7 linked regions of the Ovis aries genome follow. The protein of the gene in region 1 interacts with the protein of each later gene in a pairwise test. Links are inferred from orthologs where the notes say so. Each region holds a gene or a part of one and is shown in the gene's direction. Other genes may lie near its edges. The genes, in order: TRIP6, RAD23A, METTL17, HOXA9, PPP1R16A, NEDD9 and ABI2.

Evidence for each region.
Region 2: the proteins of TRIP6 (region 1) and RAD23A interact in binary tests that used the Homo sapiens proteins (3 or more experiments, as listed by UniProt). The two-hybrid records come from large-scale screens. The link is inferred for Ovis aries from reciprocal best matches to the Homo sapiens genes TRIP6 and RAD23A.
Region 3: the proteins of TRIP6 (region 1) and METTL17 interact in binary tests that used the Homo sapiens proteins (3 or more experiments, as listed by UniProt). The link is inferred for Ovis aries from reciprocal best matches to the Homo sapiens genes TRIP6 and METTL17.
Region 4: the proteins of TRIP6 (region 1) and HOXA9 interact in binary tests that used the Homo sapiens proteins (3 or more experiments, as listed by UniProt). The two-hybrid records come from large-scale screens. The link is inferred for Ovis aries from reciprocal best matches to the Homo sapiens genes TRIP6 and HOXA9.
Region 5: the proteins of TRIP6 (region 1) and PPP1R16A interact in binary tests that used the Homo sapiens proteins (3 or more experiments, as listed by UniProt). The two-hybrid records come from large-scale screens. The link is inferred for Ovis aries from reciprocal best matches to the Homo sapiens genes TRIP6 and PPP1R16A.
Region 6: the proteins of TRIP6 (region 1) and NEDD9 interact in binary tests that used the Homo sapiens proteins (3 or more experiments, as listed by UniProt). The link is inferred for Ovis aries from reciprocal best matches to the Homo sapiens genes TRIP6 and NEDD9.
Region 7: the proteins of TRIP6 (region 1) and ABI2 interact in binary tests that used the Homo sapiens proteins (3 or more experiments, as listed by UniProt). The link is inferred for Ovis aries from reciprocal best matches to the Homo sapiens genes TRIP6 and ABI2.

Annotation. Positions count from the first base shown.
Region 1 is NC_056077.1:36,218,556-36,222,502, reverse strand, and holds the start of TRIP6 (thyroid receptor-interacting protein 6), read left to right. Parts: upstream 1-1,140; 5' UTR 1,141-1,258; coding exon 1,259-1,367; intron 1,368-1,618; coding exon 1,619-1,746; intron 1,747-1,836; coding exon 1,837-1,962; intron 1,963-2,215; coding exon 2,216-2,602; intron 2,603-2,922; coding exon 2,923-3,016; intron 3,017-3,123; coding exon 3,124-3,293; intron 3,294-3,947. Other genes in the region: SLC12A9 (solute carrier family 12 member 9), read left to right, coding at 1-360. UniProt on the Homo sapiens protein: Relays signals from the cell surface to the nucleus to weaken adherens junction and promote actin cytoskeleton reorganization and cell invasiveness. Involved in lysophosphatidic acid-induced cell adhesion and migration.
Region 2 is NC_056058.1:10,918,086-10,922,300, reverse strand, and holds the start of RAD23A (UV excision repair protein RAD23 homolog A), read left to right. Parts: upstream 1-1,405; 5' UTR 1,406-1,494; coding exon 1,495-1,566; intron 1,567-3,029; coding exon 3,030-3,191; intron 3,192-3,357; coding exon 3,358-3,539; intron 3,540-3,678; coding exon 3,679-3,734; intron 3,735-3,866; coding exon 3,867-3,994; intron 3,995-4,215. UniProt on the Homo sapiens protein: Multiubiquitin chain receptor involved in modulation of proteasomal degradation. Binds to 'Lys-48'-linked polyubiquitin chains in a length-dependent manner and with a lower affinity to 'Lys-63'-linked polyubiquitin chains.
Region 3 is NC_056060.1:24,452,290-24,456,276, reverse strand, and holds the start of METTL17 (methyltransferase-like protein 17, mitochondrial), read left to right. Parts: upstream 1-1,177; 5' UTR 1,178-1,208; coding exon 1,209-1,289; intron 1,290-1,433; coding exon 1,434-1,587; intron 1,588-1,673; coding exon 1,674-1,808; intron 1,809-2,485; coding exon 2,486-2,564; intron 2,565-2,818; coding exon 2,819-2,900; intron 2,901-3,213; coding exon 3,214-3,287; intron 3,288-3,745; coding exon 3,746-3,840; intron 3,841-3,987. UniProt on the Homo sapiens protein: Mitochondrial ribosome (mitoribosome) assembly factor. Binds at the interface of the head and body domains of the mitochondrial small ribosomal subunit (mt-SSU), occluding the mRNA channel and preventing compaction of the head domain towards the body.
Region 4 is NC_056057.1:70,456,187-70,460,132, forward strand, and holds the start of HOXA9 (homeobox protein Hox-A9), read left to right. Parts: upstream 1-1,143; 5' UTR 1,144-1,226; coding exon 1,227-1,806; intron 1,807-2,892; coding exon 2,893-3,131; 3' UTR 3,132-3,946. UniProt on the Homo sapiens protein: Sequence-specific transcription factor which is part of a developmental regulatory system that provides cells with specific positional identities on the anterior-posterior axis.
Region 5 is NC_056062.1:13,409,801-13,413,279, reverse strand, and holds part of PPP1R16A (protein phosphatase 1 regulatory subunit 16A), read left to right. Parts: intron 1-1,265; 5' UTR 1,266-2,013; coding exon 2,014-2,242; intron 2,243-3,303; coding exon 3,304-3,374; intron 3,375-3,450; coding exon 3,451-3,479. UniProt on the Homo sapiens protein: Inhibits protein phosphatase 1 activity toward phosphorylase, myosin light chain and myosin substrates.
Region 6 is NC_056073.1:44,062,541-44,066,757, forward strand, and holds the start of NEDD9 (enhancer of filamentation 1), read left to right. Parts: upstream 1-1,412; 5' UTR 1,413-1,624; intron 1,625-4,217. UniProt on the Homo sapiens protein: Scaffolding protein which plays a central coordinating role for tyrosine-kinase-based signaling related to cell adhesion. As a focal adhesion protein, plays a role in embryonic fibroblast migration.
Region 7 is NC_056055.1:205,328,489-205,332,477, forward strand, and holds the start of ABI2 (abl interactor 2), read left to right. Parts: upstream 1-1,185; 5' UTR 1,186-1,223; coding exon 1,224-1,340; intron 1,341-3,989. UniProt on the Homo sapiens protein: Regulator of actin cytoskeleton dynamics underlying cell motility and adhesion. Functions as a component of the WAVE complex, which activates actin nucleating machinery Arp2/3 to drive lamellipodia formation.

The DNA of each region.
Region 1 (3,947 bases):
GCCGAGGTGCGGGAGGTGGTGTGGGGCGAGGGGGCTGCCTCCGAGGAGCCGGAGGAGGAGGAGGAAGGGGACTTTGTGAACGGCAGGCGGGGAGACGCTGAGGCAGAGGCCCTGGCATGCAGCGCCAACGCCCTGGTTCGGGCCCAGCAGGGGCGTGGTAGAGGAGGGCCTGGTGGGCCTGAGGAAGGGGGCGGCGAGGTGGGGCCCACCACTGCCCTCACCTTCTTGTACCTGCCGCGGCCGCCTGCTGATTCTGCCCGCTACCTGCGCTACCTGGCGCTTCTGGAAATTCTGAGCCGCGATCTGGGCCCCGCGCTGCTCATTCACGGTGTCACTCCTGTTACTTGCACTGATCTCTGAGGCCCATGCCAAGCAGAGAGAGCATCCAGGTCCGGCGGCCCACCGTGAGAGGAGGGTGAGAAGGGGAAGGGCTGTCTTGTGCCAGCCTCGCACGTGGGACTCAGCCCCTGGTGGACGTATTAGGGCATCCTGGTCTCCTGGCCCTGGGTGCAGTTACTAACGCAGGGCAGCTGTCCCCACCACCTTCCTGGGGAAGGAGTCCACAGCCCTCCCTTCGGGCCTCCCTCCCTTCACCCGTGCCTTGCCGGGGGCTGGGTCTCCGCTTGTGACTCTAGGCTACCTCAGTCTCCGCCCCCCACCTCGCCCAACAGACCCCCCCACCCCCGACCCCTGAGGTTGTGATGTTTTTGTTCTTTTATTTTTCTAACTGCTCAATGTGAATAAAAGATCAAAACACTAAATACCGGCTGAGCATTTCTGGAAGCAGAGGGGAGGGGGTGGGTACGTGGGATGGAAAGAGGGAGAAATCTGTATGGGGGATGGGGACAGAGGGGCGTTGGAGAGACTCCGAGCAGGGAGGGGGCCACGTGTGGGACCTGGGGCGCCGGCCTGGGGGTGGGGGGGTGCTGGTGGAGATGCAGGCTGCCGGCAGCCTGAAGACTCGAGGCTCCCGGGGCTCCCGAGGAAAGCGCTCCCTGCTCGCAGGAGGGGGCCTGACTCGGGGAGGGACGGCAGTTTAGGGCCTAGGGGGCCACGTGACCCTCCCCCAGGAATGCGATGATGTCACCGGGGGCGTGGCCATCCCCAAAATTAGGGAGGAAGGGGAAAAAAAAAAAAGCCAGAAAAAGTTTCTTTCCTGGAGTCCCAAGCAAGGTGTGGGACGGAAGAAGGGATCCAAGTCAGAGCCCCGGGGCTCCGTGGGGCCCGACCGGCTGTCTGGAGTCCCCCTTTCCAGACCATGTCCGGGCCCACCTGGCTCCCCCCGAAGCAGCTGGAGCCTGCTCGAGCCCCTCAGGGGAGAGCGCTCCCCCGAGGGGCCTCGGGGCCACCCCCGGCCCACGGATCAGGTAAGGCAGCCCCAGTGAGGCCCAGAGGCCCCCGGGCCACCAGCGCTCTCGGCTCTGCCTTGCGCCGTCCACGCCCCACTGAGCAGGCCCCTGCTGCCCCTTCCCCTCCCAGCCCTCCCTGCCCCTGGCCCTATTCTCGGACCCCAGGTGCAGGGTGAGGGGCGAAGAGGGACCCAAGACGGTGGCCTCCACGGGCGTCGTCACCCTGACCTTCCTCATCCCCACCTTGGCTCTCTCTTCCCTCACCCCAGCGCTCCAGCCCCACCCCCGGGTCAATTTTTGCCCCCTCCCATCCGAGCAGTGTTACCAGACCCCCGGGGGACCAGAGGACCGGGGGCTGGCCTGGGTGGGGTGCCATGGAGCACCCCAGCACTCGCAGGTGAGCACAGGCGCTGGGGGATGGGGCGATTCAGGGCAGGAGGGGAGACCGTGGGATTGCATTTCTCCTTGCTTTTTGCTCCTTCCCCAGGGCCTCCCCCCAGACAGGGGGGGCTTGCGCCCGGGAAGTCTGGATGCTGAGATAGACTCCCTGACCAGCATGCTGGCTGAGTTGGACGGGGGTCGAGGTCACGCCCCGAGGCGATCTGACCGGCAGGTGACTCCCCTGTCCTGCCCCTGCCCCTTCCGATCCTTGACCCCGCCCCTCCCCTGTTCCCTACTCTGAATCCACCCCCCCATTCCCAACGCCCCCCACCCGCCCACAAGCCCCATGTGAGGGATGCTTACTCCGGGCCCTTGTCAAAGCTGGTTCTTGCCTGGGTGCCTCAAGGGGTCGGGGGAGGGGGGTTCCTACAGATGGGTGTCCTGGAAATGGGCCCAGCTCACTCCTGCTCTTCGTCTCTCCCCAGGCTTACGAGCCCCCTGAGCCCCCTGCCTACCGCTCAGGCTCAGGCCCGTTGAGGCCGAATGGAGGGGCGCTTCCTCCCCCGCCGCTCCCAGGGTCCCCCTACGGGGGCCCCACTCCGGCCTCCTATGCTACAGCCAGCACCCCCGCCGGCCCGGCCTTTCCTGTGCAAGTGAAAGTGGCACAGCCTGTGAGAGGCTGCGGCCCTCCCAGGCGGGGGGCCTCTCAGGCCTCCGGGCACTCCCCGGGCCCCCACTTTCCTCTTCCAGGCCGAGGTGAAGTCTGGGGGACTGGCTACAGGAGCCACCGCGAGCCAGGGCCGGGGGTTAAGGAGGAGGCCCCGGGGGTCTCCGGCCCTGCAGGTGCAAGAGGAGGCGGCTACGGGTCCCAGGTACGCCCTGGGCCCTGGGATTTCGGGTCCATCAAAGACAACTGGATGCTGACTGGGTGGGGTGTAGGGGAAGGAGTGTTAATGTTGGAGGTCTGGGATGTTGGGGCTCTGGATCCCCTGTGGATGTGGGGCAGGTCAGGACTAAAAGACGGAGGGGCCTAGATCTACACCCTGGCTGCCAGAGGGGCTCCCCCGGCCCCTGGGCTGGGACTTGTTCTGTGATAAGCTTTCTGGGTAGAACGGTCTGGTCACCCTGGGGACCCTCAGTGACAGCACTGGGAGCTAGAGGTAGGGTCAAACCTCTGAGTCTCACCTCCCAGGTGCCCCTCAGCCAGCCTCCCGAGGAGGAACTTGAGAGACTGACCAAGAAGCTGGTGCACGACATGAACCACCCGCCCAGTGGGGAGTACTTTGGTGAGCTGACCCCCGACCTCAGGGAGGTGGGACTGCAGAGTCAGATGGACAGCGGATCTGGCTTCCCGGCCTGTGAGGGGGTTGACCCTGTCCCTTCCTGTCCCCAGGCCGCTGTGGTGGCTGCGGAGAAGACGTGGTCGGGGATGGGGCCGGGGTCGTGGCCCTGGATCGCGTCTTCCATGTAGGCTGCTTTGTGTGTTCTACGTGCCGGGCCCAGCTCCGGGGCCAGCATTTCTACGCTGTGGAGAGGAGGGCTTATTGTGAGAGCTGCTATGTGGTGAGTGGTTGGGGCCCAGGAGGGCTTCCATGCAATTAGAATGAGTTGGAAACTAGAGGAATAGGGCTTGAAGCAGGGGAACTGACATTGATAAACGAGAAGAAGGGATGAATGAAGTAAGGAGCTCCACACTGGCTGCTGGAAAAGAAGGACGATATTCCCTCATACGTGTGAAGCATTTATTTATCTTTGGCTGCGCTGGGACTTTGTTGCTGCCAGCCGGCTTTCTCTAGCTGCGGTGCGTGGGCTTCTCATTGCGGTGGCTTCTCTTGTTGCAGACCACGGGCTCTAGAGTGTAGGCTCAGTAGTTGTGGTGCATGGGGTTAGTTGTTCTGAGGCGAATGGGATCTTCCCAGACCAGGGATCGAACTCATGTCCCCTGCCTTGCGGGGCAGATTCTTAACCACTGGACTGCCAGTGAAGTCCCAGGCATTTATTTTAGATTTATAGGAAGGTGCTAAATTCTCACAATATCCCAGTGAAGCAGCTACTGCTGCTGAAGGAAAATGAAGCTCAGAGAGGTTAAATAACTTGTCCAGGAAGCTGCAGTGCTGGGGTCAGTACTCAGATCTGTTCAAGGTCACCTTTCACTGAATCCCATGCAGGGGGCTACAGAAATAAGATGGATGGGCTGGCCGGATGCCTGTAAGGGCT
Region 2 (4,215 bases), on another chromosome or scaffold:
TTGAACCCACACCTTAGCCACCAATTCATGTGAACTCTTTCACATTGAACCACATACACATCTCTTGCTGGTGAAGGAGCAAGACTACACATCTATTAGCTTTAAACACATTTTCTGACTACTAGCCAGTGTTAAAAGCTGTTAATTCCTTTTATAGTCAGGGAAATAGATTCAGAGATGTGATCTACCCCAATGGCCTTCACTGGCCAAGTCAGGGTTTGAACTCTTGAAGGGAAAGAGGTGGCCCCAAGGGAGGGAGTGAAAGTGTCAGAAGAGCCTGTGGGCCTGTAAGACTGGCATAGGCCCACTTGGTTGCGCCCCACAAGGCTGCCATTAATGTCCAGCGGGTGGTTGGGAACTGATGTCTAACTGCAGGAGAGGGAAGAGAATTCCTCACCCTAGTCTGACCTAGGCTTGTGAAAGCTGACTAGCACAGGATATGCTGTGAAGGGAGAAGCTGCAGGACCTGGTAATAGTTGGGTAAGGAGTGAGGCGGCAGGCCACAGCCTGGTGTTTTCTCATGTGAATGGTAAGAAGAGCTGGTTAGCTGGCAGGTAATGGTCAGTTCAGGATGGGGGTAGGGTGGAAAGTCCACCCACTAAATGGAAGACAAGTACATCACCTCCATCCTGTTTGCCAAAGCACCTTCAGCTTTGGCTAACCAACCCTTCTACTCTTTGTTCCATGGGCCTAGCCCCACCCTTCTGGGAGGCCTCCAGAATTGGCATATCCGGGGAAAGTTTTAAGGAGAGAATTTTGTGTTTAGTGTACCTTGAACGTTACATCTTCCTCAAGTACTCAGATGGAGTATTTGATGGAGTCAGATGGAGATAGTTGGGTGAACAAAGTGATCAGGGGAGGAGCAGCAGAGGGAGGGAGCTGTTAAGATTCATTCTGAAAATCCAGCACTTCCTTTAGGCATTAATGAGGCCACAGAATGGCATTGTGTCCCCACGTCCATGGTCAATTTCCGTGTTTAACTGTTGGTGACCTTTCAAGTATCCTTTCTAGTTCTTTCAGGGCTTGATAGGCTTCCTGTCAGGTGGCCAGACCAGAGTAAGGCTCATTTGGAACGAGCAAAAAGACATTAAGATTTTGTGGAAGAAATGAAAATTTAGCAAGTACATTGCTTGTTAAACGTCAACAAACTCATGGGCGTGAAACTGGGGGTCTCGGAGCCATTTTGTGGCCTATGACGTCACCGCTAACGGGCATGGCGTCACTCGCAGGAAGCCACTTGATGGTAGAGCAAGAAGTACCCCTTCCCTCACGGAATAGAATTTAGTCTGCGCATGCTTTGCTCGAGGCCGCGCTCGTGCGCATGCTCGCGATGGCCAAGGGGGCGCGCTCATGTCACGTGTTGTGGTGGTCGGCGCGCGCACTGCCTGCCCCGGAAGCTGTCGGCGTGCGGCGCGGCTGGGCGCTAAGATGGCGGCGGCGTGAGTTGCATGTCGTGTGAGGATTCCGGGGCCTCCGTGTCGCTCGGGTCCCACCATGGCCGTCACGATCACGCTCAAAACACTGCAGCAGCAGACCTTCAAGATCCGCATGGAGCCTGATGAGACGGTGCGAGCCAGGCCGGAGCTCCGGAGCGGGAGCGACGGGTGCAGCGGGTGGGGTGGGGGCGGGGAGGCCGGGATCCCGACGACAGAGGCGGGGAAGACGGCGCAGGGTCGCGCCCTGCCCATTCTCCCTACAGGCCTGACTTTCCCAGATACCCTGATGGTCCCCGGCTCTGCCCCTGGTGGCTCGGGCGGCGCTCTTGGGTCGATCTCCAGGCGAAGCCCCACCTCCGGGGCTCCCGCCAGGTCCTGGCTCCAATGTCAGCTCCCTCGCGGGGCGCGGGATCCGCAGGCTCAGATTGCCGGCCGGGCTGCTTTCTCTGGAATGGGTCCTCCGAGTTCCCACTTTTGTAGGCTTTGCCTCGGGACCTTGGTGGCCAAATCTGGGAGTAGTGATCAGGAGATGCCGGGTGATGACAGCAACTATGATGATAATGATAATAAACGGTCTGAGTTTCAGTGGTCCGTGTTTGTTTTTCACTAGTCGCTGAGCGTTTTCATGATGTTTTACTAACTCTGCAAAGTAGGCTTGTCATTTGGGCACTCTTGCGTGTCCTCACTTAACAGATGTGGAAACTTTGAGCTTGAAGAACTTTGCTATAGTCGCATATGCATACAGCAAGGCGTGGCGGAGCTGATTTCAATTCGGATTTGCCTCAAGTCTCGAGAGCCCACGGTCTAAAGATGATGCGGTGCTTTTGACCGGAAAGTGACTTAGGACCTAAAAAACGTGTATTTGGCACTTTTTGCACAATTTCCCCTATGAGGGAGATATTGAAGTTCATTTTTTGTAAAAAGGAAACAAACTCAGATTATTTTGACCAATCCAGCTGTTTGGGCAAGTTAGGTAATCTCTGTGCCTCTATTTTTCTCAAATATAAAATAAGGATATGGAGCTTGCTTCCTGGTGCAGTGGCTGAGACTGCACTTTCAATACAGGGGGCCTGGGTTCAATCCCTGGTTAGGGAGCTAGATCCCATATGCCAAAACTAAGATCCTATGCAGCCAAATAAGTAAGTAACTTTTAAACAATACAAAATGAGGCTCATAGTACCTATTCCACTCAGTTACTACAAGGCTTTAAACCTGTGACGTATACATTTATTAATAGCACTATCAAACGATTCTCAGTAAACACCACTGTCAGCAACCTTAGGTCTCCCCTTTATTTTGAATTGCATTTCATCATGTTTACATCATTTGAAATATGTATTCGTTTTTTTATTCTCCCACATGAGTGTCCTCTATGAGAACAGGGACACGTGTTGAGTCTTTGTGCTCTGTCCTCTGCCTAAAACTGCACCTGGCACACATTCAGTGTTCAGTAAAGATGTCATTGAATAGTAGAATGGTCTAGTGTGCTTGATTAGGAAGCCTAGCAATTCGGCCATCAGGGCTTGCAGCCTGCCCCCAAACTAGAAGAGAGAATCGGGGGGGTTTGCAATGATCATCTACCCCTTCCTCCAGGTGAAGGTGCTAAAGGAGAAGATAGAAGCTGAGAAGGGTCGTGATGCTTTCCCCGTGGCTGGACAGAAACTCATCTATGCTGGCAAGATCCTGAGTGACGATGTCCCTATCAGGGACTATCGCATTGACGAGAAGAACTTTGTGGTCGTCATGGTGACCAAGGTGGGTGATGTCTGCTGGTTCGGAGGGTGGGTGGATTGGCTGGGGAACTGGCAAACAGCCTGTGCCGAAGAGAGATTAGCCATGGACAGGGCGGGGCGGAGCTGTGGAGGGTTGTCGGGGCTAGATAGGGGAACTGATGCCTGCTCCCTTTTTCTGGGTGTCATAGGCCAAAACCAGCCCAGGCACCTCAGTACCTTCAGAGGCCTCACCCACTGCCACCCCGGAGTCTTCCACATCCTTCCCGTCAGCCCCTGCCTCAGGCATGTCCCACCCCCCACCTACTGCCAGAGAAGACAAAAGCCCATCGGAGGAATCTGCCCCCACGACGTCCCCGGAGTCTGTGTCAGGGTAAGGCAAGGAGCCGCAGCCCCAGTTTGGGCCCTGTCTTCCCTGCCCCTTTCAGTGCCCACTGTCATGGTTCCACACACCTGGGGGGAGGGCAAGCCGCCAGAAGCCAGGGTCCGATTTCTCTCTCTTGAATTTGCAGCTCTGTTCCCTCTTCAGGTAGCAGCGGGCGAGAGGAAGACGCGGCCTCCACGCTAGGTGGGTGGGTGGTCCCCCAATTGAAAATGGCTGGATGCCCCAGGCATCAGCTGGCCTCCTGTGGGCATGGGAGGGCCGGGAAGCTGCCCTTCCTTCTCCTCGGTGACCCAGCCTTTGCTGCTCCCTCCACAGTGACGGGCTCTGAATATGAGACAATGCTGACGGAGATCATGTCCATGGGCTACGAGCGAGAGCGGGTCGTGGCCGCCCTGAGAGCCAGCTACAACAACCCCCACCGAGCCGTGGAGTATCTACTCACGGTGAGGTGGGGCTGCTGCCTCTCGGGGGGTTCTCAAGGGAGCATGCGGACTTCGGTGCTCTGAAGGGTGGTCAAAATCTGTCCCCCAAAACCTTTGGGTTAGGGTTCTAGCCAGGAAAGAACTCCTGCAGGAGCCGGGACGAGAGCGGTGGGGTGGGCCTGGGAGGGCAGAGCGGAGGCCTCCTGTGTCTCCCACCAGGGCTGAGTATGCAGGCGGGGCGG
Region 3 (3,987 bases), on another chromosome or scaffold:
GATGGCGGTGGTGGTTTAGTTGCTAAGTCGTGTCTGACTCTTGCAACCCCATGGACAGTAGCCTCCCAGGCTTCTCTGTCCATGGGATTCTCCAGGCAAGAATACTGGAGTGGGTTGCCATTCCCTTCTCCAAGGTATCTTCCCAACCCAGGAATCGAGCCCAGGTCTCCTGCATTGCAGGCAGATTCTTTACCAACTGAGCTACCAGGGAAGCCCCCAGATAGAAAGTACCAATTTGTCATCAGCACTTGACAAATTGGCACTTGCTAACTTGCATTCTATGTACCAATACTACCAGCAGAGCATATGTTTAAAGGTGAAGATCAGACTTAGATTGCCAAGGTTTAGAACTTGTTCTCACCTAACAAGCTCTTGGATCTCAAGCGGAATATTTAGCCACCTGAACTTTCACTTTCCTTGGGTGCAAAATCTATCCTTTAGAAGTATGGGGACTAAATAAGGTAGTACCATATAACAGCGCTTGCCACACTACCTGTCACATAAGGTTCTCATGGTAGCTATTTACCTGGCTTAAAAGTACTGGTTTAATATTAAGAGAAACTAACAAGTAAGAAACATTAAATCTATTATCTATTATTCCATCAATTTGGTCGCCTAAATCTGGCTTCCCTTGATCATCTTCCCATTACTGCAGTCTCTCCTGGAGAAGGAAATGGCAACCCACTCCAGTACTCTTGCCTGGAGAATCCCATGGAGGGAGGAGCCTGGTAGGCTACAGTCCATGGGGTCGCAAAGAGTCGGACACGACTGAGCGACTATACTTTACTCCATTTCACACAGGAGGTAAAAACTCTAAGACTTCAGTGTTCTCCAGAAGGTGAAAGAAAGAACACTGGTAGTTAATACAAACACAAATCCTTCGCCGTCCTGTGACGCGTTTCTGGCGAACCCAGCATAGGGTCAGCCCATACCTACCTAACCCCGCCCCTCCAATTTCTGGAGGCGGAGACAAATCACAACGCAGGGTGGAAGTCACCTAGCTTCCGGCTAGCTACGCTGGAATTGAGGTGCACAAACGGCCTCCAAGGCGATTTACAGATCGATTGTTTATTGGCTACTAGCAAGCACTCGCTCTCCGCATTGGCTGTTACTGCCCGGCGCCAATGTTCGCGCAGGATGTTCGCTGCAGCTAGTGAGAGTGACAGACACTGCACCTAAATTTCCGGTTCCGGTTCACCGCTGGCGCCATGGCGACCGTTAGAGGGTCGCGGTATCTGCTGACAATAGGCAGATGGCGCCGCAGCTTTGGAATAGCGCCCCAGTTCCGAGTGAGTACCTATTTTCCCTGCTTTCAAAAGAAGCTTTGGACCTCAAGAACAGCTCCTCTCCGAGGAGGTGCGCTTTCGGCAGCTCCTCCTTTAGCCTCCCGCAGCCATCCTCTGTGCCCCCTATTAGCTTTCCTTTTTCTGCAGGCGCTTGCTGCCCTCGTGCCCGGCGTATCCCACGTGGATAACAAGTCCGATTTCCTGGGGAAGAGGCCCCATCGCCGGCACCCTGGCATCCTGCAGCTGTCATGCGTGCGGCTGCCGCAAGGATTGGCTGAAGCCGCGCAGTTACTGCTGCTAGGTGAGTAAAGATGGGAAATGGAAGCTCAAGAAGCGAAGATTGGACCCTGCGTACAAGTGATTCCTCTTTGCATCTTTGGTCCATAGAGAGCTCGATGCCCAATATGGAGAAACAGGTGCAAGCCCTAACCAATTATCTCTGGAGCCGGCATTTACCTGTAGAGCCAGAGGAGCTACAAAGACGGGCTGTTCTTCTTGAGAAAAAAATCCTGGAAAACGCAGGTAGGTCTTTTCAAAAATAAAGAGTAAGCCAAATAGAAAGAGCAGAGGGAAATGAAGAGCTAGTAATAATTCTGCAGCCTCTTAAATAGATACTGCGATTTCTTATTTGACTTTCTAATCAGAGTAGTTATTCATAATGTTGCCTTTCTAAAAGAAGAAAAGTAATTTCAGAGATTGCCTATTAAATTCAGGGCTTTAGTAAAGATCAATGAGTTATTCCCTGACTTCTTGTAGTACCTGGTTTGTAGTAGGCACTCCGTAGGTAAAATAGTACTGAAGTGAACACAATTGTAAGACAAGTTTTTCAAGCCCCTTTCCTTCCTATAGGAACTTTGGAGACATCACATTATTAAATTGGGGGGAAGTGAAGAAATCTACAAAGTACTGTCTATCCTATCCTTTAACTTTTTATTACACTTGCTTTTAATACAGAACAAAACCTGTGAGATAGAGTTGGTTGAATTGAATGAATTGCTGTTAGAGGCAATATATTATCTGATATACTATGGTGGTGGTGGTCATTATTATTCTTACCTGAAACTCTTCTCTAGTTTGGCTTCTCTCTTAAGCATTTTCCATGTGGGAATTGGTAGGGAATGGCAGGCAGTAAATTCAGATATTGTATCTGAGCCCTGTTCTTCCTAGGTCCTTACTTCCAGTGCTTGTTCTTACCCCAGACTCATGTCAGACAGAGAAACATCATGAAGAAGTCCTGCGTGCCTTGCGCAGAACTACCTATCATTGGCAAGAATTGAGGTAAGGGAGACTAGAAGGGCTGCAGAAGAAGGAAAAGTTTGGCTTTTGAGAAGGAGAGTTGGGGAAATACAATTACACCATTTAGTGTGTGAAAAGGCAATCTGGTTTATAAGCCTCCCTAAGACTTGTCTGTGTTGATCAGTGAAAGGGTTGAGCTGGAAGAGCCCTTTGCAAAGATTTCATTTCCTAAAAGTCTGGAGGGTAGCTGCAGGATAGAGATTAATTCCCAGTGGTATGTCTGATTTTTCTGGCAGCTACAATGAGGGACTGAGCCTGGTGTATATGGCAGCAAGACTGGATGGTGGCTTTGCAGCAGTTTCCAGAGCTTTCCATGAGGTGAAATTCCCTCAACTTCCAACCAGAAACTTTACTATCAGTTCCCTTTTTCATAAAGTAATCTGGGGCAAGATTCTTGGGACATTACATGTGCATTTTTTTCGAGAGGTTGTCTTTATCCTCTGAAAGGAATTTTTGACCCAAAAAAAGGTTTAGAATCACTGTTCTAAGACCTTTCTATTCTATAAGGCATTTACACTGAATCTTGACATTCACAGCTCATTTCCTCTGTTGCGGTCCCCTAATTCATGTTTACCAAGACCCTAAATAAGTGTCTGTCTTCCCCACTGTGGGGTATTGAATATTTCTTCAGATCCAAGCTCGCCTTCCAGACTTCCAGCCACAAACCTTGATGGACTTTGGCTCGGGTACTGGCTCTGTCACCTGGTGAGTATCTTTCTCTGTCTCTGTCAGTTCCAACTCTAGAGAGTTAGAGCTAGCTTATGCCACGTCAATATCAAGACACTGGAGAACCAAAGGAAGAAGAGAAAATTGGAACTGATGTGTTTCTTCCCTCAGATTAGACAAGGCATGAGAAGGTATATAAATTAGGGTCAGAACTTAAAGAAATGTCAAGTGAAAAAACCCACATTTAGAAGGATAAAAAAGGAAAGGAATTTGATCTCGGACAGGGATTTACATGTCAGCAAGATTTTTGTGTGTGTGTTCATATAGTTTTTGAGTCTTCTTAACAGTTGTAGATGAAACAAGAAAATAAGATTGCTAGTTTTTCCAACTATTTTAACATAGCGCTCTGTTTCCTCAAGGTTGGGTTAGGGACAGAGGGGTCTCTTGTAGGAATAACTTTGTCGTAAGAACTGAAGATTTATTTTTTGCCACTTTAGGGCTGCTCATAGTACTTGGGGTCAGAGCCTACGTGAGTATATGTGCGTGGACAGCTCAGCTGCCATGTTGGAATTGGCAGAAAAGCTGCTGAAAGGTGAGGACAAAATGTAAGGAAGGGCTTTTCCAAAGTTGAAGGCATTTGCAAAGCAAAGGAGTACCAGAAAGGGTCTTTTACTGGGGAGTAGAGGAGAGGCCGGAAAGTTAAAGATGGGTCTGATGCGATGACCCTGTTGAAGATGCT
Region 4 (3,946 bases), on another chromosome or scaffold:
TTTCATTGATCCTGCTTCGTGTTTTTTCGCAGTTCGGGTTCCGGGAATGCGACGAGGCTTGCAGAGCTCAGCATTAGGGCCTCCAAGGTCGGCACACACGGCTGGGACGCCTATTGGGTCCGCCCGGGGTGTGAATAGCGATTCCGGCGGACCGCGAGCGGGGCGCGCTGGTCGTGCGTGTACGCGGGGATGGAGCCGAGCGCGCGGCACAATCAGGTCCTCAAATCCGTGGCCCCAGGGTAGACTGGCCACTCTCTCCCTGGCCGCTCCTCGGTGGGGCCCTCGCTGGAGGCTCAGCAGCGATTTGGGGAGCTGCCCGGGCGCCCTGCGCTCCAGTCGGGCAGATGCCGGAGGGGAGTTCACAATTGGTGCTGGCTTCTCGGTGGCCTGTCCCTGTCCAGCGCGCTCCGGCAGAGGTGGTGGTGGCTCAGTCTGGGATGGATACTGCGTTGAATTTGACTTTTCTCGACCAGCCCCGGGTAAACTCGCATCTCTAGGGACCGCAAGGATTATTTACAGGGAGCTCGCCAACCAAACACAACAGTCTAATTTAACCTTTCCAAGTCCTCGTAAATTTTTACAGCTGCGAGTCACGAGGAGCCAAACGAATCTGTTGGTCGTTCCCAACTTCCCACCAGCCTGTGTGGCTTCTGAACAATAACTCCTTATGAAATATCATAAATATAGATTTAAATACAGTAGAGCGAGAATGCGATTTGGCTGCCTTTTTATGGCTTCAATTATTGTCTAATTTTATGTGAGGGGCTCTGCTGGCCGCACTCGCGCGCGGGACCCGCGTCTTGCTGATGGCGTGATTAATTGTGATATAAAATAGTCCGCTTAAGAAGTGTGTGTCTGGAGGTGGCGGGGGGGGGGGGGAGGGAGTACAGAGGCAAGGCCAGATTTGATCTTTTAATCTTCGTTGGCCACAATTAAAACAAACCCGATCGCGGAGCGCCACGATCCCTTTGCATAAAAACATATGGCTTTTGCTATAAAAATTATGACTGCAAAACACCGGGCCATTAATAGCGTGCGGAGTGATTTACGCGTTATTGTTCTGCCGGGCGGGCACGTGACGCGCGCGGCCAATGGGGGCGCGGGCGCCGGCAACTTATTAGGTGACTGTACTCCCCCCCCCCTGGTGCCACCAAGTTGTTACATGAAATCTGCAGTTTCATAATTTCCGCGGGTCGGGCCTGGCCGGCCAGGCGCGGGGCACGGAGATGGCCACCACCGGGGCCCTTGGCAACTACTACGTGGACTCATTTCTGCTGGGCGCCGATGCCGCGGATGAGCTGGGCGCGGGCCGCTACGCGCCGGGAGCCTTGGGCCAGCCCCCCAGGCAGGCCGCGGCGCTGGCCGAGCACCCCGACTTCAGCCCTTGCAGCTTCCAGTCCAAGGCGGCTGTGTTTGGCGCCTCGTGGAACCCGGTGCACGCGGCGGGCGCCAACACGGTGCCCGCGGCCGTGTATCATCACCATCACCACCACCCCTACGTGCACCCCCAGGCGCCCGTGGCGGCGGCGGCGCCGGACGGCAGGTACATGCGCTCCTGGCTGGAGCCCACGCCCGGCGCGCTCTCCTTCGCGGGCTTGCCCTCCAGCCGGCCTTATGGCATTAAACCTGAACCGCTGTCGGCCAGAAGGGGTGACTGTCCCACGCTTGACACTCACACTTTGTCCCTGACTGACTATGCTTGTGGTTCTCCTCCAGTTGATAGAGAAAAACAGCCCAGCGAAGGCGCCTTCTCCGAAAACAATCCTGAGAATGAGAGCGGCGGAGACAAGCCCCCCATCGATCCCAGTAAGTGTCTCCTCCTTCCAGGCCGGCCACCGCCTCCACGCCGGCCACCCGGATCTGCCGGCCCTCCAGCTTTCTCCGGAGCCTGAATTCGCCTTCGCTGGGAGCCTCCTGAGCAAAGGCCGGGAGCCAGAAGTTGCTGTTTGGGAAGCCTCCTCGGATGGGGCCCCCCAAGTCCAGAAAGCAGTGACAAGCCGGCCTGCCGGGCTTCGGGGGAGGGGAGGCGGCGGCTGCCTAGAGAGGGGGCGGGGCAGGCGCTGCAGGACGACCCGAGACCTGGTGACCCTCTCCTTGGCTTGCCCGGGACCAAGACAGAGATACTCTGGGCGAGATTCTTCGAAAGCGACGCGTCAGAGAAAGCCTTTTGTGCGGCTAGATTGTCCGGGAGCGGCGGTAGCAACTGCAGCCCGGGCAGCCTGACCCGGGACTCTGGGGAAGACGGCCGATTCTCTCCACTTCTTGCTTCAGCCAGTGGCGGCGTAAACCCTGCCTAAGATGCGGCTGCAGGCGACCGGGACGCGAGAGTCCCCGTGCTAGATTTTTCAAATAAACTGGAGAAGTGATCTACGGCCTTGGGGTGCCTAGGGGCGCCATACCGGCCTGGCCAGCTCCCACAGCCTTCCAGGGAGGTCAAAATAAGGAATGGGGAGAGTAGATGGAAAGGTGGGAAGGAAAGAGAGTCAGTGAGAGGGAGAATAGAATATTAAGCTTGCTAAGGAACGCATGGCAGCGTGGTTTCCTCCCGTGTGACAAGAAAGAGACCTGTTTGCAAATTTCACTTCTTGCACAACGTGTGGAGAGTGGGAGGAAACAGAGGAGGGGGAAGGAGGACAGAGGAGGAGAAAGAAGGGTCTGGGTGGGATGGGGGGGGGGGAGCCGAGGTTTACAGGCGTGCAATTGTAAGTGACCGTCCCTGCGTCTGTCTGCCAGGGTTCCATTGTATCCGAGGCTCGGCTGCCCTCCCTAACCAGTTCAGCAGCGTCCTGCACTTTGGCTGAAGACCCCAGGACTTTTCCTAGCCCCCAGCGGAGAGGGGTGGGTGTGCTTATTCACCTCCTAAATCCCCCAATCTCTGTCCCCCACCCGCAGGTAACCCGGCTGCCAACTGGCTCCACGCTCGCTCCACGCGGAAGAAACGCTGCCCCTATACAAAACACCAAACGCTGGAACTGGAGAAGGAATTTCTGTTCAACATGTACCTCACCCGGGACCGCAGGTACGAGGTGGCCCGACTGCTCAACCTTACGGAGAGGCAGGTCAAGATCTGGTTCCAGAACCGCAGGATGAAAATGAAGAAAATCAACAAGGACCGAGCGAAAGACGAGTGATGCGACTCGAGTTCGTTTAGAAAAGAGAGAGTGAGCTAGAGAGAATTGCCCGTCCCCTTCTACCCCCATCCCACCCCACCCCACCCCAGCCTCCACCTAGGCCTCCAACAAGGCGGTTGGATACTCCAGGCCTCAAGTCCTAGGCAAACCCTGTTCAGGCTGGTTCCTTGGCCTGCCAGTTTGATGGAGGAGGTATTGTAAGCTTTCCATTTTCTATAAGATTTAAAAAAAAAGGCAGGGGCATTAGCGATGATGGTTCTATGTGCTAGCTTGTATATATTAAAAAAAAAAAAATCTACCTGTTCCTGACTTAAACAAAAAAACTACCTTTTTATAATGCACAACTATTGACGGCGGGCTGTATAGTTTTTAGACTGTGTGTAGTTAATTTAATTTGCTGTTTGTGCGGCAGAGCAATCTGCCCAGATACTTGAATACTGTGTTTTATTGTGGTAATTATGTTTTGTGACTCAAACTTCTGTGATGGGTGATGCACCCGTTGTGATTGTGAAAGCTAGAATTCGATTTGAACTCAGGTTGTTTATGAGGGGAGAAAGCAGTTGCATAGAGTATAGCTCTGTAGTGGAATATGTCTTCTGTGTAACTAGGCTGTTAACCTTTGATTGTAAACTAGCTGTAAGGATTTCCCAGTGACATAAAATTTTAAAACAAAAAACGAAAGCATTCTCCGGGATGCATAGATTCATGGTTTTCTCCATTTTTGAAATGCGGACATTTTAGTTTCTACATGCTCTCTAGATCTATCTTGTCCATTGTATATATATAATCCACATATTAAAGAAAAAGTGAACAAG
Region 5 (3,479 bases), on another chromosome or scaffold:
CTCCTTCCTTATGGTCTTGTGGGGCAAGCTCTTCAGGCTGGGTTCGCTGGCAGGCCCCAAGGCCAACTCCAGAGAGATGCACGTCCCACATGTGGGTAGGAGGGGGTGCCCAGTCTCTCCAAGGGAACATGAGGGACCTGTGAGTGGCCATCAGGGAGGCAGAAAGCCCTGCCACACCTGGGTCTGGCCGGGGCCTCATGGGTGGGGAGCAGGCAGAGGCAGGACACGGAGCCCTGGGAGACCCAGGCAGGCAGTCTGGGCAGCTTCTGTGCCGGCCTTGCAGTCGGCAGAGCAGGCCAGCAGGGGGTGGGCTGCCCGGAGCAGGGGTGCTACCTGGAGAGCTCTTTCCTGGCCTCACTGGTCCCCCATCCTGTCCCCAGGAAGCCTCTGAGGCCAGGCTTGCAGAGGGGTTGTGGAGTGCCAGCCACATCCAGGGCCAGGCAGACCCGAGAAGCAAGGCTCTGGGTACACTGGGGGTCCGCAGGCTGGAGAGGCCTGACCTGACCTGATCTGGCCCAGGACGGTTTCCTTCCAGAAGGAATGGGCACTCACTAGTACAAGTCTGGTCAAAGGAAGGCTGGTCAGTCTCTAGATGGCCATGAGGTCTGTCCGAGTGGGAAGGGGGACTCCAGGTGGTCAGGCTGAGCTGCAGGGGGCACCTTCTAGGTGGAGCCTGGCCACGGCCTCCTGAGCAGTGTCCTGAGGCTGTGCCCAGTGATCACCCCAGGCGTGCTGGGCGGGACAGTCCATGGTGGGGACTGTGGGGCTGTGCCACAGCCTAGCTGCTTGCCTGACTGTCTGTCCTGACAGCTCCAGGTCAGGCAGGCCACTGCACCCATGTTCACACAAGCAGGGCTTGCATGTAGCCCAGGACAGTTGAGGGGGCATTGAATGGCCTGAACTAGAAAGCCTGGCAAGGAAGAGGCCCAGACTCGAGCGGTGAGCAGCCCATGGCCAGGACAGGCCGTGCCCTCCACTCTCTGCAGCTGAGCAGGGTGGCTTGGGCACCCTCAGGAAGCTGGCAGAGCTGCAGGAGAAAGTGAGCTTGCCTAACCCAGCCCGAGGGCACATGGGTCAAGGGCTGACGTGGGGTCTTGAGGGGCCGCCCGGCTGGAGGCCTGCTCTTTTCTCTGAGCTGCAGAGAAATGCTGAGTGTGGGGCCAGAATGCGGGCCGCACAAGGTTCTCTGTGGGCAGGTCGGGGCTCTGGGGGGGCGCTGGCCTGTCCCCGTCCAGCCCTGACGGCTTCCTGCTTCCTCCTCTCAGGCCAGCGGGAGGGAGTACCTGCGTGTGCAACTCGGCCACTGGCTACTCCAAAGGGGGCCCTTCCTGAAGACACAGTTCCCGGGCCCTGGGTGCCCTGCCTGCCTAGAGAGCATCAGCCTCGGGTACTGGGGGCCAGGCCCCCCGGACTCTGGACACACACCCGCCCAACCCTCCCTCCTGCTGCACCTCCTCTTAGCACTGACCCCCGGAAGGCTGGAGGTGCTGGGGGTCGGTGGGGGAGGAAGGCCTGGCCATGGGTGCCCCGGGACCCCACCTGGTCTCCTAAGACTGGAAGGCAAGGGCTCCCAGGGGTGTCTGCCCTGCCCTGCCCTGCCCCTGTGTGAGGAGGCGGGAGCTGCAGCCTTGTCATCTGGGTGATTAGCTTCAGACCCTGGACTGACGCTGGCCAAGTCCCGCCTGCTTCCTGCAGGGTGTCCTCCTGACCCAACGCGGGAGGGAGGCCCTGCCCATCGAGCGGCCAAGGTGCTCAGGCCCCGGGAGGCGGGCTGCAGGTGCCGTCCCGCGCTGCCTTTCTGCCTGGGGCCCGTGGCCCTCACACCTGCCCGGGCCTGGTCACAGCTTGAGGCCTCCTAACCCAGCCTTGCCAGGCACAGAGGCCACGAACCTCAGGAGGGGATGCCCCCGAGGGCTCCAGTCCAGCCGGCTGCCCCCCACCTCAGGCCCAGCCTGGCCCCCGTGCTGCCCCAGCCGGTGCCCCCCGCAGGCCCCGTGGCAGGCAGCCCCCACCATGGCCGAGCACCTGGAACTGCTGGCAGAGATGCCCATGGTGGGCAGGATGAGCACACAGGAGCGGCTCAAGCATGCCCAGAAGCGACGGGCCCAGCAGGTGAAGATGTGGGCCCGGGCTGAGAAGGAGGCACAGGGCCGGAGGGCTAGCGGTCAGCCGCAGAAGCGGGTGCTCTTCCCGCCCAGCGTCACCCTCCTCGAGGCGGCTGCCCGGAATGACCTGGAAGAAGGTGAGTGTGGCTGAAGTCCAGTCCGGGCCAGCAGCCCTGTCCCCACTCCTCACGCAGGCCTCAGGAGCCACAGCCCCCTGGTGGGAGCCCAGGGAAGCCTGCCAAGGGCCCTGCTGGGCGAGAGGCCAAGGCGGGGTGGGCTGGGAGCTGCCATCTTCTCTGCCTCTGGCCAGGGTGCTGGGAGTTGCCCATGACGCCTGCCTGCTTGCCTGGGTTCTGAGCCTTCGCCTCCATAAAGGACACATGCAACCCCCCCCCACCCCCCCCCCCGCCGCCAGCAGATTAGACCCAGGGTGCAGGGCTGCCCAGCAGGCCCCCCTCAACACCCGCCCTTAGTTCTGCCTCTGACTTCTTCCTTCCCGGAGGACAGGCTGGGCAGGACTGCCTTCCTGGCACTGCCCTCTGCCCGCTGTCAGCCCCTCTGCCCTCCCAGGGAGGCTCCTGAGGACTCCTTCTGTCTCCTCCCGGGCGGGGCCTCTGCTGTGGCAGCTCGGGTTCAGAGGGCGAGGAGGGGCAGGGTGTGCCCAGAGCAGGGAAAGGGGGCTGGGCATGGCGGCCGTGGGTCAGCCAGCAAACAGGAGCTGTGGGGTGAGGGGGGCAGCTGGGGAGGGCTGGGCCTGGGTACCCTGGGCCTTCAGTCTTGGCCACCGAGGTGCGGTGGGGCGGGCTGCAAGTACCAGGGGAGGGGTGAGTGTGAGTGTGTGAGCGTGTAAGGCTGGGGGAACACGGGACCTGACCGAGGGGTGTCTGAGGGTGCATGCCGGCCCCCAGGCCTGGGGGGCCCTTTCTGGGAGGAGTTGGAGGGCTGGAAGGCCCTAACTGGGAAGGCATTCTGAGGTTGAGGCTGAGGCAGGGCGCTGCTGTCTGTCTATACCCTGCCTGGGGGCCCAGCCCCGAGCCCTCGGCCTGGGCTCTGGGGTCCCTCATGCCTTCCCTGTGCTCCTCTGCTATCCTGGCTACAGCCTGCGACCCAGGTGCCCTGGGCAGGGGCCTGAGCAGGACTTATGGGCCTGCAGCCAACTTCTGCTCCCAAGCCCTGACCGCCTCTGTCCTCCCTGCAGTCCGCCAGTTCCTCGAGAGTGGGGTCAGCCCTGATCTGGCCAATGAGGATGGCCTGACGGCCCTGCATCAGGTCAGCCCCACTGGTGGTGGGAGGGGAGGCTGAGGCTGCGGCGTGGGCTCGGACACTCAGGCTGGGTGCTCCGCAGAGCTGCATCGATGACTTCCGGGAGATGGT
Region 6 (4,217 bases), on another chromosome or scaffold:
CCCGTGAACTGTAGCCTGCCAGGCTTCTCTGTCCGTGGAATTCTCCAGGCAAGAATACTGGCGTGGGTTGCCATTCCTTTCTCCAGAGGATCTTCCTGACCCAGGAATTGAACTCTGATCTCTTGCATTGCAGGCAGATTCTTTACAATTTGAGCTGCAGAGAAATCCTTCAGCCATATATAAATAATAAGAAAAAAATTGAAGTGAGACAGGTAGGGGGCTTTGTACATGGTTAATGGATGCTCTATGTCTTTCCCTCCGTGTTTTGTTTGATCCTGCTTCCCAGGTGGCGCTAGTGGTAAAGAACCCAACTGCCAATGCAGGAGACCTAAGAGGCCTGAATTCGATCCTTGGGTTCGATCCAGGGAAGAGCCCCTGGAGGAGGGCATGGCAGCCCACTCCAATATTCTTGCCTAGAGAATCCCATGGACAAAGGAGCCTGGTGGGCTACAATCCATAGGGTTGCAAAGAGTCAGACATGACTGAAGCAACTTAGCACGCAGCACCAACAGCAAAGGTTGGCAGAGAGTGTGTTGAGAGTGGATTAGTCACTTTGCTACATGTTGGCATGGTGTTGACTGTGAGCTGTTCTGTGACTGAGGCTGTAAGAGATAAGCATTTAAGAATGGTGAGGTGCTATTCTAAGAAAATATCTGTAAGGTCCTGAGTAATGTGCCTCATTGTTGGGACAGCAAGTATTTGTTTACAGTAATTCTCAAGGGTTAGTGGAGATTATCTTGCTGAGCCCCAAGGAAGTTCTAGGAAATTCGACTTAAAATCAAGTCTGGTGCTGCATCACGGTTTTTTCAAATCAAAATTTACAATAAATATAGATATTTTCCATCCCTTCATATAATGCAATTCAGCAGTAAAGGTGCTGGCAGCAAAGAAATATCGGAAGTGTGGCCCTGGGAATTTTCCCAAAGGCTATTTTTAAAAAATAGGACATTTTGATGAACAACAATGATAATTAAAATGAAAAATCTGTCAGTGCACTACGGGGAACAAAATCTCAACCAGCTATAAAGTTATTCTAGCTAACATTTGTATCATTATTTATGCCATCTAAACATAAAGCAAGGATTTGCAGGAGTTCTACAAAAATTCCAAAAGCATTATACCCGCTATTCATGGAGAATGGCAAATTTGCTTTGGTTCATTTGCCTTTTATCCCTCACTGTTCTAAAAGAGAACAGATATTACATTGTTGAGCTCTATAGCAGTTGTGATCAACAGAAAAAAGAACAAACATCTTTAATTGTTCACAAAGCAACAGATAATTCCCACAACAGACACTGCTTCTGACAACCGCATATTTAAGGCAGAGGAAAAATAGACTGTGTACATACCATGGGGTTATTCCCTAAAAGTCTAGTCAGCATGACTTGCATTCGGGGGAAAGTCCACTAGACATAATCTAAGCCAGACCGCATCAGTGCATGTTTGTCCCCTGCTCTTCCATTAGCACGGAGTGAAATTTCACAGCTAAAATGTCTGCATCAGCTTCTGAAGGAAGAGAGTCCGTATTCCTCACTGTGACCTTGATTCCCTGATGAACCTCAGCAATACTGGTGATTGCTCTTCCCCCGCTATGCCCATCTTATTATCAGTGATAATGGAAGAGGTGAGTCTCTCACTTTCCTATTTCTTTCCGGTGACACTCTCGCCATCTCCAGCACCTATTTTTGCTGTGTTTTCAAAAAGATGGATGTGTCAGTTGCCGTTGTCTCAAAGCATTTTCTCAGAACTGCCTGGCCAGAAAATCCTCTGCACGCCAGAAGGAGAAAAGAGACCTTTTGAGATATTTGTCAGCTTCATTAACCCAGACATGTGCTTTATAAAAATGGAACTTCCGATAAAGATTTTAGGCACTCTTCGACCTTATTCTCTGCATAATTTAAGGATAAAAAAATCTTATTCTTTGCCTTCTTCTTCTGCATCAGCGTTCCGAGGATTGCTATAGGTTTCCTTCCTTTGTGTTTGTTCCAGTTCAGAATTTTACCATTTCCTTTTTCTGTTTGTATTTCTGATTTCATGATCACTCCATTATTTTATTCATCTTCAGTGTCCCCATGTGGGTTGTTCGTATGACTGGTGACATCAATGACTGCTGGCATAGCATAATCTCAAAGAACTCTCTCATAAGTACTCGTTTTACAAGCCATCAGTTACTTAAGGCATTTGGCAATAATGTTTGCTTAGCAGATCAAGTGGTTTATCTTCTAAGTCGTGTATCTTACATTTCTTTGCCGAATTCTGGCTTCTGTCTAGATCTTGCAGGAACCTGAAGAAAGTCACATGGGGCTGCATCAACTTCCTTGTTCAGTTGGGGACAGTCTGATGATGTCGCCCACCAGCTAACCTGTTCTTCCCTTCCCTCCCCGCAGTGTGTGTGCCTGTTGGGGGAGGGAAAAGGAAACCAGACTAGGTAGCCAGTTGGAAACGACCGGTGTTTTTATTTTCTTTCTTTTTTTTTTTAAATGACTGTGTCAGATTTAGTACCAGGGTCTAGCTGACCTCATAGAACACATTGCAAAGCGTTTCCTCATCTTCTGTTTTGGAAAACATTTATGTAAGTTTGATACCTTTTCTTACCTTAATGTTTAAAAGAGTTCACCAGTGATACCATCTGACCCTGATGTATTTAAGGAAAGAGTTCAATCACAAATTCAGTTTACTTAATAAATGCATTTTCAGCAATATTTCCTATTTCTTGTTGTGTCTGTTTTGGTAAGTTGCATTGTTTAGGAATTTCATCTAGCTGTTGAATTTATTAACATCAAATTGTTAATAATATATGTAGCATCTGTAGTATATTCACACATTTATTCCTGGTGTTAGTGGTTTTTCTTATTTTTTTCTTGATTAGCCTATGTAGGGCTTAAGTATCAGTTGTTCAATCTTGTCTCTTTGTGACCGCATGAACTGTAGCCTCCAGGCGCCCCTTTCCATGGGATTTCCCAGGCAAGAATACTGGAGCTGGTTGCCCTTTTCTTCTCCAGGGGATCTTCCTGACCCAGGAATCAAACCTGGCTTTCCTGAACTGCAGGCAGATTCTTTACCATCCGAACCATCAGGGAAACCCATGTGGGGGGTTTCAAATTTGTTATTCTTTCAAAAGGAAAAAAATGTTTTGTGTTAATTTTCTCTGTCATTTATGTTTTCTGTTTCATTGGTTCCTTTTCTTTACTATTTCCTTCATTCTATATACTTTGGATTTATTTACCTTTCTCCACTTACAATGAGGTTATGTCCCAATAAACCCATTGTGAGTTGAATATATCATAGAACTCCTCTGTAGTAATTCCTCACAGGAATTAAAAAACATTTACTTAGTTATATTCAAAACAATATATATTTTCTTTTGAGTTTTTTAATTAAGAAAAAGAAGAGCAACTCCTGATATGACTCAGAAGCAACCGCGAAATCAGATTTCAATTCATGTAACCTATCCCTTGGTCAAAATAGTAAGTGATACCAAAGAAATATCTGTGTGTCAACACATTTGATTATGCACTGCTTTTCTTTTGAAAATAGAAAATCTCAGGTGTCAGCATATCAAACAGGAACTACAAAAATGTTCTCCATTAGGTTTTGGACAGGTAACATTCATTTGCTTTTAAACATGTTATAAAAGCTGAAGGTTTTACTATATAAATCTTGTGGTGGCAATTTGTACCACCCACCAGTTTTAGAGGCTCCATGAATGATTAAAAAGAGTTTCACGTCTTTGTGAGGCGTCTTAGGAACCTAATGATTTATTTGTGTTCCAACTGCTGCCTTTTCTCCCTTTTGTGTCTTGACAATTCTTATCATACATTCCTTACTGGTGATTTAGTAGACACAGTGAGCAGATCTTAACTTTAAAATTATACAGCTCCCTTATTTAAAGCTGCAGGCTATCTGTTCCAATGTCATTTTGCTTCTTTAGCAAACTTTCACTGATACCTTGTTATATACCAGATACTGTTCGGAACTGGGGGCCCCAAGAAGCATTGTCCCTTTTTTTTTTTTTCATGCGTTTATAGTCTAGTGGGCATCAGAGAAATAATTGTAGTAAGTTTTCTAATAGAGAAATGTTCGAGCTGCAAGGGGAGGCAACCCAGGCAGTCTTCAAAGGAAGAGATGACATTTCAGTGTGATATTAGGAGTATGCAAAATGTTATAGCTCAGTAAATTGAACCCTTATGATTTTTGCATTTAAATGTATGTAAATT
Region 7 (3,989 bases), on another chromosome or scaffold:
AAAAAAAGGAGGGGCAAAATCACTAGGCGGGCCAAGAGATCACAAATACAAGACTTGAAATAATAGATCTTGCTCTAAACTGCAAAGGCAGTCAGCTTTGACTTTCCATGGTACAAATAAAGGTCATGGACTTTATAATATCTCAGCAGTTGTCAGAAATTTCAGTTTTTAAAAATTACATGTGTGGAGTAGTCAGATTTAGGGGAAAAAAAATATACAATACAGAATAGTAACTGCAAGACCAAAATGGTCTACCTTGAATTTTTGTGGCATTTAACGTTTTCCAAGGTGCTTTCATATAAACTTTTATCCATGTAATAGCCCTGTGAGGAAGGAAAGTACCAGCAAAATCGTTTTTTAAACTTTAAATCCTTAGTAGATGAGGAAAAAAGTTGATAGACTCAGGAAAGTGATAAAAACGATTGTCACTGAAGAGTAGCACAGAGCAAGTGGGAAAAGCTGAAGGCCAGAGGATGGGCAAAGGAGAAAAGAACCGAGGCTAACCTGGCAGGGGAAACTGTTGATTGGCAAACAGGTGCAAAGAAGCTGGAGGGCAGGAAATTTGGGATTAGGAAACTGAAATTTATTTATCCAAAGAGGATGAATACGGTCAAAGATGAGAAAAATTAAAAGTGGGGCGCAGTTAAAGCTGCATGGGAGTTCAGTGGGGCTAATATTATCCCTCAGGCCCACTACCATAAGGTTGGGCCCCAGGTTGAGGATAACGCCGAGGAAAGTCGCTGAAGAAGCGGGCGGGAAGACCGCAGAGCCGGGTGGGCGTTCACGCCGGACTAACAAAGGCCGCGGGGTGCACTGCCCCAGCCACGCATCCTGCGGGGGCCGAAGGGTTAACCGCGAGCTCAACTCCCGCGCGCATCCCGGCCCCCACTCCCGCGGTCGCTAGGAGACGCCGGATGTGGGGGAGGGGCGGGCGGCGCGACCAAGGGTGGGAACCTTTTTCGGGCTCCCGGGGGTGGAGGGAGAGGAGCGCGCGTGCGCGCGCCGGGCCGGCCGTCGCCGCGGTGACCGTCCTCCGAGTCCATCGGCTCGCGCCCCGCCCCCGTTCCCGCTGCCCCCTCCCCTGTCGCGCGCTCAGGGGGTGTTTCTCGCTCCTCCCGGGTTGCCGCCGCCGTCGCCTCGGCTCCTCCTCTCCTAGTCTTGGGTTTCCCTGGCGCTACTGCCGCCGCTGCCTCTGCGGTCTGTATGAGGAGGAGGATGTGAAGATGGCGGAGCTGCAGATGCTGCTGGAGGAGGAAATCCCGGGGGGCCGCCGGGCCCTCTTCGACAGTTACACGAATCTGGAACGGGTGGCCGATTACTGCGAGAACAACTACATCCAGGTGCGACGCATCTGCCGGCCTGGGCGTGTTGGGCCTCTGGCTGCTGAGCGGCGCGTGGGGGACCCCCGGCCCGGGGGCCGCGCCTGGGGGCGTAGGGCACACGGGGCCGAGGCCGCAGCAGGGACACAGTGCAGCTGAGCAGGGGTAGAAGCAGGGTGGGAGCGGGAGAATGGGTGAGAATTCTCCGGTTGGAGGAAATTGTAGCTTTCAAGCATTTTTCAAAAGCCGTGAATCAGTTCTCGGTGCGGGGTGTGTGTGCGTGTGTGTGTCCCCGCCTCCTCTCTTCCCTCGGCCGCCTCCGCAATCGGTGCCGGTCAATTTTCGCGATGGCGGAGGAGGCGGAGAGTGGCATTTTCTATTTGACAGAATCCTACTCCCCCATATGGCAAGGATTTGGGGTTTAATGGGTCGCCCCCAATCTCTGGAGGATTTTTGAGGCGCTATATTGCTGCAAAGTAAAATGCCGTAGCTTTATATTCATTTGAATGTATCAAAAGCTCAGCGTGGTTTTTTTGCCTTGTTTTTAGGTTCTAACTGAGGATACAGTATAAGAGCAGCTGTCCCCCTTGTTGGAAGTTAATGCCAGTTTTCTTCTCTATGGAGAATGAGAAGCTGCATGATAATGGTTTATTCCCTTCTGCCACCCGCCTCCAAGCCCGTTAGAAATAGCTAATTTGCCTGCAGGGAAATTTTTTGTGATTATCTTTCAGAGAGAAATGGGAAATAATTCTCACGGTTTAAATTTTCCGTGATGGTTGGTTTGGCATCGGGACTCAGTGATAGCACTGTATGTTTGTGTATGAAGGCGGGGGGTATTGGGTGAGATGAAATTGAGCCTCTTCTGGAAGAAGCAAGATTATGTGATTAAAAACAATTCTTTTTAAAAAATTATTTGAAAGGATAGTTTAAGATGCACAGTTTGCAAAGTCAGCATCTTTTGTTTTCTTTATAGCTTATTCTGAATCATAGGTTCTACCTCCATCTTTTCCCTTCCCATTTAAATTCTCTTGGGATATAGGTGGAAATGGAAGCAATGTGTTAAATTGTTCCTTCACTATGGCCTTTTTTCCTTCTCCCACCTCCATCTCTCCAGGCATCTTTCCTAACATCAGCTATATTGGGAAGCATTCTCAAGTCTTGGTGTGAACCAAAGAAAAAAAAGGTGTTAAAATTTATAGGTTCATAAATTTTGTAAGGATCATATGGTTAATCAAGGATAGTGTTGTAAGATATTACTTGATTGGACATATCCTGAGCACTATATTTTCTTGTATGGAATATTTGTACTGGAGAATGAATCAGACATAATCCAAGGCTTTTCCCTCCAAAGAGAAAGTTGAAAGTATGGCCAGCAGGAAAAGATAGAGTGTGTCTTGGGTCAAAGGCTCATATAGACAGTACAGATGTCCATATTCATGGGGTGCTTTGCTGATACTGAGTGTGGTAGGAGAGAGTAAAAGGTTGAGATGCTTAGTTTTCACTAAATATATTTGAAAGTGTAATATGGCCTGGCATTGTTAAGAGTTGATAGGTAGCTAGTGTCTACAGAATTTCATTGTATAGTTAGTGGGAAGGCTGATCTTTAGCAGATGAATTCCATTTTGAGCGTCAGTTTATATTCTTAATGGGCTGCAGGTGGGAAGAAGGACTGGAGGAAACTATGCTATCCTCACTCTGGAAATTCAGAGTCTCTAGGAGAGGCAAATTAAAAGGACTGAAGTAGTCGTTACAATTCCTTGTGCAACATATGGGAAAGAGTTACAGGTCTCAGAAGAGAAACAGGGTGGAAAGTGATTGGGTTGCAGTTATCACTGCTAATTTTTTTTAAAAAAGTTCTCTTTGTTTGGAAGATAATTTTTATTGTAATTTGAAGGTATAGTTCCTCTTAGGTTGCAGTTGTTACCTAAAGGTAAAAGTACCTGAGTTGATAAAGCTGAGAGAGTGAAGCGATCAACCATTGTCATCACTATATTCCTTGCGGTTCAAAGGAGAAGAATGTTGCTGCCATCATTTGTCTTAGCGGTGGGACTCAGAATTTAATGCGGTGTTTTAAAATTCAGAATATAAGTGCTGATTAATAGAAATGGATTTGGATTTTAAAATACCTTGTTTCTTCAATTTAGAACCTAAAATAGGTGCTATTAGGATCCAGTGGGTATATTATTGGCGTTCTCTCAACAGATGACAACTCGTACATGATTTGTTTGTAGTAAAGTTGATAAATAGAACATGGTGATAGTGGATTTGTGCTGACTCAGCTGCACATTTGGCTGGCTCTTCCTGTAACCATCGAACTGACCAGCAGGGCTTCTGATGCAGCCTGTGACCCTGCAATAGATGCAAGTCAATTAGTGATCTGATGGTCAGGTTAGCCTTATTATAGCAACATGTCCTAACCACTAGCTCAAGTTAACTTCACCTGACACTCATTTTATTTTGTGCAAGGACAGTTTTTGCCTGTAAAGCAGGAAAAAGACATTTATTGATAGGTAACATGATAAGGTTCTTTGCTCAGCATCCTTAAATGCCTGGTTTTATGCATGAGAATATAAAAATAAGATAATATTCTAAATGTGGATTACATTTAGTGTAAAAATAGAGGAAAGGAAGAAAAATGGTGGTGTCCTTCTGAAAAGGCATACTGTTTAA